Linked DNA regions of Ovis aries. The main gene of each other region encodes a partner of the protein of the gene in region 2 in a complex. Links are inferred from orthologs where the notes say so. Each region holds a gene or a part of one and is shown on either strand. Other genes may lie near its edges.

The links.
Region 1: the proteins of CCKAR (region 2) and CCK are in contact, whole or in part, in a cryo-EM structure (PDB 7MBX), measured with the Homo sapiens proteins. The link is inferred for Ovis aries from reciprocal best matches to the Homo sapiens genes CCKAR and CCK. Residues at the interface, in NP_000721.1 of Homo sapiens: Cys94, Phe97, Asn98, Pro101, Asn102, Lys105, Asp106, Phe107, Thr118, Met121, Gly122, Val125, Tyr176, Phe185, Asn194, Met195, Cys196, Arg197, Phe198, His210, Leu213, Leu217, Ile329, Phe330, Ala332, Asn333, Arg336, Ala343, Glu344, Leu347; in NP_000720.1 of Homo sapiens: Asp96, Tyr97, Met98, Gly99, Trp100, Met101, Asp102, Phe103.

What each region holds. Positions count from the first base shown.
Region 1 is NC_056072.1:14,569,797-14,574,276, forward strand, and holds the start of CCK (cholecystokinin), read right to left. Parts: upstream 2,943-4,480; 5' UTR 2,878-2,942; intron 1,825-2,877; 5' UTR 1,823-1,824; coding exon 1,609-1,822; intron 1-1,608. UniProt on the Homo sapiens protein: This peptide hormone induces gall bladder contraction and the release of pancreatic enzymes in the gut. Its function in the brain is not clear.
Region 2 is NC_056059.1:46,498,974-46,503,417, reverse strand, and holds the start of CCKAR (cholecystokinin receptor type A), read left to right. Parts: upstream 1-1,542; 5' UTR 1,543-1,570; coding exon 1,571-1,682; intron 1,683-2,358; coding exon 2,359-2,610; intron 2,611-4,444. UniProt on the Homo sapiens protein: Receptor for cholecystokinin. Mediates pancreatic growth and enzyme secretion, smooth muscle contraction of the gall bladder and stomach. Has a 1000-fold higher affinity for CCK rather than for gastrin.

The DNA.
Region 1 (4,480 bases), on a different chromosome or scaffold from region 2:
AAGTGATGATTCTTCCCATATGGGTTTGTTTGTCACTGCAGGCTGAAGGCAAAGGGCTGAGAAAAGACAGCAGGAAGGCCCTTCCAGCTAAGAGTTGTGGTATGAAGTCACTGTGAAGTGTCAGTTCTGGGGAAATCATTTGGTAACTGGCTTCTTTCCCAGAACAGTTTCTGGAGGATCTTTCCTGAAGGTAGGAAGGGGCTTCCAGATTATGGTCAATGAAAAACCTAGGATATTCAACCCATATCCAAGGACAGATTTTAAACTACTTTCACACAGACAGTCAGCAGGAACCTCCAAATTTTCAGACATTCTCTGTCGTCTGTCTAATATTTCCACATCTTTCAATATAATTAGGAGGAAAGCAAAATAGAAGATGGTAGTTGGGACAATCCCCCAATAAGAGGATGAAATGTAATGCATCGTCTTCTATTTTTTTCCCTTCTGAATTGTCCTGGTCAAAAATGTCCCTTCTCACTTTCCTATGGAATTGTAGGAGACTCTGGAGAGCCAAACCCTCTATTTTCTCCCCATTTCATCAAGCCACAAGTTAAAGTTCAAATCCAGGCCCCAGAACCCCAGCAATTAATGTTAAGAGAGCCTTGTGGGAAAGGAGCCCACCTCCCACCTCTCCCAGCAGTATTTGCTGGTTTATCATCCAGCCATATTGGTCCAATTTAAAACACAGCTTCACCATTAGTGTCACTTTAGATAAAGTTGATAGGAAAAAAAAAATCTGTCCCAGTTCAAATCATGATTTCTAAGGACCCCAGAGTTGAATGAGCCTCCCCCTGAGTCTCATGAAGAGCTAGAAGGAGCCAAGGGGAACCCCACCTCATACCCTCTTTACAGATGAGACAGTCAGGCCCAGGACAGGGACAGGGCTGTCTGTATGCCACTCAGCTACTGAGTTGCTGAATTACTTTATTCCTAGAGAAAGATTTTGATGCTGAGGAAAGTGTGACTTGTTTAGCTCTTGCCGCATTTGGGTCTGTGTCTCCAACAGCAAAGTAAAAATAAACACATCTCTTGCTGGGTCATCATCTTAAGCCGCTGCTCAAAGAGGACTCAAAACTGCTCCTGATTCTTTCTTCCTGCTACATACTTCCATGAAAATTAACACACAGTCACTTCTTGGACTGTTGCTGTCAGCTCTCAAGTATTCTTGCAACTGACCATTGCCTGCTAGAGGGTTTCCAAATGCAGTAGCTGGGCAGCTCCTGGGTCCTTTATATTTACAGCAGAGGGTGTTTATTGGATCTGCAAACTCTTTCTGAGTTAGTAATTCGCTCAGTAATCATCTTTTAATATCTTTACAATATGTTGAACCTAAACAGCAACACAGTGCCAAAAAGTTTAAAGAAAGCCTTCTCTTAATAAGTTAAGTCCTGCCCCCTTCCCTCTCAGCTTGCTACAAAGGAGGTACAGAAAACTGCACTGTCTGGGGCAAGCAGAATCAGAGAAAAGAAAGTTAAAGACCTTTCACCTTATCGTGTTGCCCAAGTAACCCTTCACTCCCCAGGAGTCACCCACCTTCACCAGCCCGATGGCAGAGAAGAGGGTCAGGCCTGGAGGCAGAAGGGAGGGACAGAGAGGCGGCCTGCGTACCTTTCCGAGCCTGCTGGATGTACCTGGCCAGCAGCGCGCCCAGGTGTGCTCTGGACTCGTCGTCCACCCTCGGCACCGCCCTCAGCTGCCTCCGGGGCGCCTCCTCCTCCTGCTGCGCCGGAGGGCCCGTGGGGTCCGCGTGAGGCATCGGCTGCGCCAGGGCGCCCGCCGCCAGGACCGCCATCAGCAAGCACAGGCGCGCGCCGCGGTTCATGGCTGCGGGGAGCAGAGGGAAGGGGACGTGAACGAAAAGGTGGGGCATCCGCGGGCTCTTGAGGAGGGTCGGACACCCAAGGTACAGAGAAGGGGGCTCAGCCCAAAGGCGCGGGGCTCCGGATCCGCCAGGCAGGTGCCAGCACTAGGGAGCCGGTGACCCCAGCATGCGCGTCCGGGCGCACCGCGTTCCTCTTTGGGGTGAACCGCAATCCGGGGCCCGGGAGTGGTGTGGGGGACGGAGAGAGACCCTGTCCTCTGCCCTGTTTAGCAGAAGGAATGTCTTCGGTTTTCCTTTAGTTTGAGGAAGTGTTACAGCGTCGTCTCTCTTCTCCTAACTGGAAAAACAAGAGATTAAAGACAGGTGAAAATTATCCGAAAGGGACGACTCTGTAGGAAAAATAAGAGCCTTGGTTTTAGAAAAGAGGCACCTTACCAGAGAGCTAAGACGCTTCAACCAGGGAAATAAATGGTGAAACACTGAGAAGCACGGCTTGAAATATGAGACCAATACATAAAAGCCGTATTTTTCAAGTTTCCTCAAGGTGCAAATGGGAATTGGCAAGAACAACTATGTGAAACACAGGCAGGCTTTTAAAAAAATCAGAAATCTGCGCTCAGTCCTCCGGCGTCCGCCAAGCACCGCTGCGTTTTAGATCCGCGCAGATGAAACACTGGGATAGTTCTATCCCTCAAACCTTGAGTTTTCCCGCAGCATTCAGAAAATGAATTTAAATTTAAAACCTCTCGGTAGTATATTTGAAAAGATTGCAAAGTACACTGGACCGCTGTGTAACACCTAGCGAATCGCAATTTGCCGGCTAACCCGAGCAAATAGATGCTCCAGCGTTGCCTGCGCTGGAGAACAAATCAAGCGAGTAGAAGTCTGTAAACCAGCTCTATCCACCCAGCCCGCACTGTCCTTTGTGACTTGGAGAAATGTCTTTCGAGCTGTCGGAAAGAAGACACCGTAAACAGTAAAATGAAATGGAAGGGGAACAGAAGTGAAGAATCATTCTTCGAGGACACTTGGATCCCCGAGAGCCGGGAACCTACCTTCGGAATAGGACGCAGCCGGCTTCGCGGTCCAGCCAGAGCAGCGGGGGAGCTGAGCCAAGTTCAAGGTAGGCGGGCAGGAGGCTGCCTCTTAAATAGCCCCGCCTGAGTCGTTGGCCAGTCATCTGTTTACCCAGTACTGACGCAGAGGGTAGCGGCACGTGCTCCGAGGGCGGCCGCCGGGGCGACAATAGATTGAGGTGGCTGCCTGGGGGGGGGGGGGGGGGGGGCAATGGCCCTGTGGAGCCGGGTGGGTGGCGGGGTGGGTGGCGTCAGCCGCGTCTCGGTCGGGGGGACTTCCTCCCCCAGCTCCGTGCACCCCCTCTGCCTTGCCCATTCCAGCGCGAAGCTCCCCGTCTTCAGGGTGGGAGACCTAGGAATGGGACTCTCCTGCGGGATGGAGAAGCCGCCGCGCGCCTACAGTTCGCTTTGGGGACCAGAGGCGCGGGAAAGGAAACCCGGGATAGGATGGGGTGGCACTAGACAGCGCTGGGTGTCAGCAAAGTGTAATTCTGAGATGGTGGAAATGTCGGCCCCTCTTGGAGCATCCCAGGCTGCTCTGGTTTTTAAACTTTGTTCTCAGCCCCTTGATCCCAGGATCCCGAGGGCAAGGGTCCCTGGGTCAGCGAAAGGGCTCCTCCACGGCTGGCTGCGGGTGTCGCGGACTCTGCTTTACGTAGCTGTGAAACGAGGATGAGGCTATTGGGCTTTGCCCGGAGTTTGGGAAAGGGCTGTGTTTTCTTCCAAGCGGAGCTACCTCCTGCCCGCGGCGCCCGCAGCTCCTGTCGCCAAGCGGCACCAGAGAGTGTCCTCAAAAGCCGCTCAATCGCCGTTCCCCTCTGGCATCGGCATCCGCCAGTTCCATCTTTCCCAGCTTTTACACTTGGGCCGGTCCCCGCCGTCTTTGAAATAAAGACCTCGCTCTTGTCACTCACCCCCCTAGTGGGGACAAGGGAGGCGCCGCGGCAGCTGTGCGCCCTTCCCTGCGGGGTCGCGCCCCCGGCCAGTGCGCCATAGGGGTCTACACTCACCTCCGCCCTGAAGCCCTTTGGGTTAGAGTCATCTAGTTAGTGCTCCAGTTCTCCCGGTGCTGCAAAATTACTGACAACCCCATTTCAGCAACCGGGGAGCCAACAGAAGCAGCAACTGGCCAAGGCTTCTCCACAGTTTCCTGGAGTCTCAGCAGGCTGAGACTTGAGGGTAGCCACCCGCCCCTCCCGCCTTTTCCCTTCCTGGAGAAAGATTTGGACCTGATTCTTTCAAATCAGAATCTGTACTCAGCTCCTGGGATGGTGAGACTGTGGTGTTGAAGTGGGTGGGGAGCCTGACACTTGGTGGGGAGATGCCTGTGGTTGCTGTCCCCCTTTTTAAACTCTAGAGGCTGCTGCATTTCTGCAATCTAAAGGCAACATTTTTGAAACAGAGTTGCAGATTAGATGCTTCCCAGTGGTTTTCCCAAGGAGGCTACTGTGTAAGTTCACTTGGTGAAACTAGTTTTATTTGTGACTGTGGTCAAGGCATGTCTGAGAACATGAAGTTGTTATGGAGCATAATCACCTAAGGGGCTTGCTCAAACACCTCCCAGAGTTTCTGATTCAGTAGG
Region 2 (4,444 bases):
TTGCCTCCAACATGGGCTGTTCGTGGTTTCAAAGAAAAGAGATATCGGTCTCTTCCCAGCCCCGCATCCCAAGCCTGGGTGGTAAAAATGCCCATCGGTTCATCCATGTTCGGCCGGGAATCAGCCAAGATAGAACACATAGGACTGTCAGCTGAGAAAGCTGTCAAAGCACGAGGGATCCCTGAAGTGTCTCGATAGGTCTCAGCTCAGCTGAGCAGCTGTGAGCAACATAGAGCCTCTGCTGTCACCTGCTGTCCCAAAGGTCTCAGCAGAGGACACCACATGTACGAAGGGGCTGGAGGAGCTTGCTGGCACCACAAAGCCTCACAGAAAGCCCAGAGCCCTGGCCAGGCCCCCATCTCTAACCCCATCTCCCACCGTTGGCCCCTCATTCATTCCTACTTCTAACTATTCCTCAAACAGGCCAAGTTCATTCCCATGCAGGGCCTTTGCTCTTGCTGTGACCTCTGCCCAAAAGACTGCTCCTCCTGCCTAGAAGCAGCTTTCCCCAGTTGTCCCAAGCCTTCCTGCTCCTTGTCATCCAGCTCTCCAATCTTGGTCCCTTCCTGTGAGAGGCCTTTCCTGACCATCCCATCTAAATGAGCAACACCCCCCCCCACACACACACACACACACACAATCCATCATTCCTCTCCATTATATCTTCCTGCTTGACTTCCTCTGTGGTGCTTTACACATCTGAAATGATCTTGTTCATTATTTGCTTATATGCTTAGAGAAGTACCTGGCAAGCGGAAGGCACTCAGTGAACATGTGCTGAATGAATGGACGAATGCATAAACGAATGAATGGAAAATCTTACTAAGTGTTTTCTATATTAAGGATCCGAGCACCTACAGCCAGGGCACCCCCTCCTTTCAGTTACCAGGGGCAGAGACCACAAGAAATAACCCTGTGGTTGGTAACAACTTAACAACCAGCCAGCAGTTATATCCACACACATTGCTGGGCATGGTTCCAAAGCTAAAAGGCACTAATTGCTTTTATATAAGGAGGTAGAAACACAGTCCCTCCGTGTCCTTTAGTCCTGATGCTCTGCATGTCGGTGTCTGTCGCCGTGTTCATCGCTCCTGTCTCACACAGCCAGTTTGAGCTTTATTCTGCCTATGTCTGGGACGGTGACAGGTTCCTAGACAGAGGAGAGAGGAACTGTGTCCCTGTATGTGTGTGTCCACGTGTGTGTGCACGTGTGCAGAAAAGCAGTGACGCTCTGGGAAGGGTTAACTCGCAACCAGGCTGCCTGTGCTCAGGGCCCTACGGCTGGCCCAGGAATGGGGTGGGCCTGGAAGGTGGAGCGGGCTTGATTCACATCAGCTGCTCTTTCCAAGACAGGAGTGCAAATGCCTGCCCAGCTGGCCTGAGCGTGCTGAACTCCAGTCGCCTTTAAGAATGGTTGCAGGAGCCCACACCTGGCAATCACTCCCCCTACCCCCCTGCCTCTCCACAGCAGGTTGCATCTGGGAGACTATCCGGTCAGTCATTAGAGGAATGAGCCGAGAGTGAGCCGTTCACCAGCTTGCCAGCACTTGGTGGAAAGCAGCAGGCAAGCATGGAAGTGGTTGACAGCCTTCTCATGAATGAAAGCAACCTGACTCCCCCCTGTGAACTGGGGATCGAAAATGAGACGCTTTTCTGCTTGGATCAGCCCCGTCCTTCCAAAGGTAGGTGTCAGAGGCTGTTATCTGAATTCAGAAAACCTTAAGTTTGTGGGAAAAATCAGCAAAGGCAAGGCTGACTGTGAAAACAGAACACAGTCCTAATGAGACGAAGCTGGATAAAGTCATCTGCTCAGAAGTTTGGATGAGAGATCTAAAAGCAGAACTGAGTCCAGTGCTCTTGTTGTTCCCCATGGGAGAGTTGGGATTAATGTATAGGACTTGGGGGGCACAAAAGCAGCGGGAGGAGGAGCTGAAGTGGAGCCAGAGGGAGTACAAGTGTAAAAGCTGGAACTTACAGCATCGCAGAAAAGGCGCTGTCACAGTCTAGCTGTCGCCTTTCCTTGGGGGAAATCAGTGTGAAGAAGTGATTAAATCGAAATAATGCTTAGCAGCTAGGAAAGAAAGCAAATCACTGGAGGAGCTTTGTTCTTAAGAAAAAGTGGTTCCCCAAGTGAGTGATCCGTTAACAGACCAGCCTTTCAGAAGCAACTGAATCACTCTGTGCTCTCCTTGCTTTGTTTCTGCAAAATATCTAAGTATGGGGAGAGCTGGGTTCGGTGATGCACACCCCTGAAAATACAAACCGGCGGGAAATAAGTGTTCACTTGGTGTGCTAGGGTTTTAACATTCTGCCCTCACCACCTGCATCTCTCCGTCTTGTCCGGGTTCCTCCTTGCAGAGTGGCAGCCGGCCGTGCAGATTCTCTTATATTCCTTGATATTCCTGCTCAGCGTGCTGGGAAACACACTGGTCATTACGGTGCTGATTAGGAACAAGAGAATGAGAACAGTCACCAACATTTTCCTCCTCTCCCTGGCTGTCAGCGATCTCATGCTTTGTCTATTCTGCATGCCATTCAACCTCATCCCCAACCTGCTCAAGGATTTCATCTTCGGGAGCGCTGTTTGCAAGACCACCACCTACTTCATGGGTGAGTTGCTGCTGGTGCCTATTTCTGGAGTTTCACCCTTAATCAGTGAAACTCAGTCCCAGACCTTCCCTAACCCCTGACAGCCTCCACAGAGAAGCCCTGATGGGTGTACAGAACAAAACATCTGACTGTATGGGGCTGGGTACAAGGACAGAGGAGCTGGCTTTATGGGAGGGTCAGTCCTCATAACGCCCCAGAAGTCAGTCCCCAGTCTTAGGGGACCAGTTCCTCAAAGTGGAATAAGTTGGTAAGAAACTACAGAAGACACTGGTTTTGCTTGCTTCTGTTAGAAAGACAGACAGATTCAAGCTGATCTGTGCCTTCCTGGAAGGCATTGATTGTACTCTGAGCTCTACCCAACCCAAGGCATGGTTTTTGGGGTGACCAGACTGCTGGAAGAAGGCTTTTTCTGCTACCATTCTGGCGCTTATAGGGAACAGGGTTATTCAAAATCCAGTTTCACCAGAGGTCTAGATTCCCTTCTCAGGATTCACTTTCCAGCCTGTTTTCACAGAGGCTGGGACCATCTTAGGCAGAAAGAGAGAGAGAACCTCTACCACAAATACAACAAGTTGAATTTGCTGCCAGTGCCTAGGTGGATAAGCTGACCCTGATTGACTGAGATATGCAGCTCGCTGCCTTTGCCAATCAGAATGATGGTGATGATGAAAAATCATAAGAGCTAATGTCTTTGAGTACATTTTTTTTTGAGTACCAGATGTTCTACTAATTGCTTTAAGTTTTTACTTCCATGATCATATTTTATCTCACAACCACTCTATGAAGTATACACAGTTATTCTTCCCTGTCTCACTGAGAGGGGAACAGAGGCATAGAGAGGTTAATAATGTGCCCAAGGACACACAGGTGGTAAGCCACAGAGCTGACTTGAACCCCAATTGGTGGCCACTACAATGGCGAGTAAATACACAGCCTCATTTTGCCAACTGCTGTGGCTCATCTGAGGCTGAAACAAGGCATTTCTCTGGGCCCCTCCACCTGCCAAAATGCTTCCTCTCTTGCCCATTCTGAGAGCTGGTTGCGGGACGGGGAGAAGAGGTGGGAAATGAAGAAGGAGTTGGTTGTTCTGACCTAAGCCCTGCAAAATACGCAGAGCTGAGCTGCCTAGGGCAGCCTTCAGTGACCAGAAAGCTTCAAAAGCCTTTATTTCTTCCAACTGAGGAAGCAGGATCCAGCGCTGACAAAACGATGATGAATGGCTGATCTACATGCCATGGACAAATAACCGAGAAAGTGTCAGGCTGGGTCCAAGTACTCGAAAAAGAAAAATGGACTCACAAACGAAAAGGATTGTTGTTAAACAATGACGCAATAATAATAACCAACATCTCACAGTGCCTCAGGCTTTCAAGGGCTGTCTGTATATATCCTACGGTAATATTTAATCATTTTAACCAGGGTTTATGAAAGGAGATTAAAAATGAGTCCTTGTGTAGTTGCACAATATCAGTGTGCTAAATGCAGCAGTTGTTCACTTTAAAATGATTAATTTTATGTTATATGAATTTTACCTCAATTAAAAAAATGTTTTAAAATAGCTGGGGTCTGAGGCTAGGAACCTTAACACTCTTTCTGAAAATACCCAGTACAGACTGTTCTAGAAAATGAGAAGCAAGATACTTCTAAAAGTGTTTGCAATACTATAATGGTTTTGTTGGATTTCTGATTCCAGTCATTTCAATTCTCCCCTAATTTCATGTTCTTAACAATTAACACGCATTAAATTCCTAATACATAGCCAAAAGGGCTTCCCAGGTGGCTCAACGGGTAAAGAAACTGCCTGCAATGCAGGAGACACAGCAGACATAGGCTT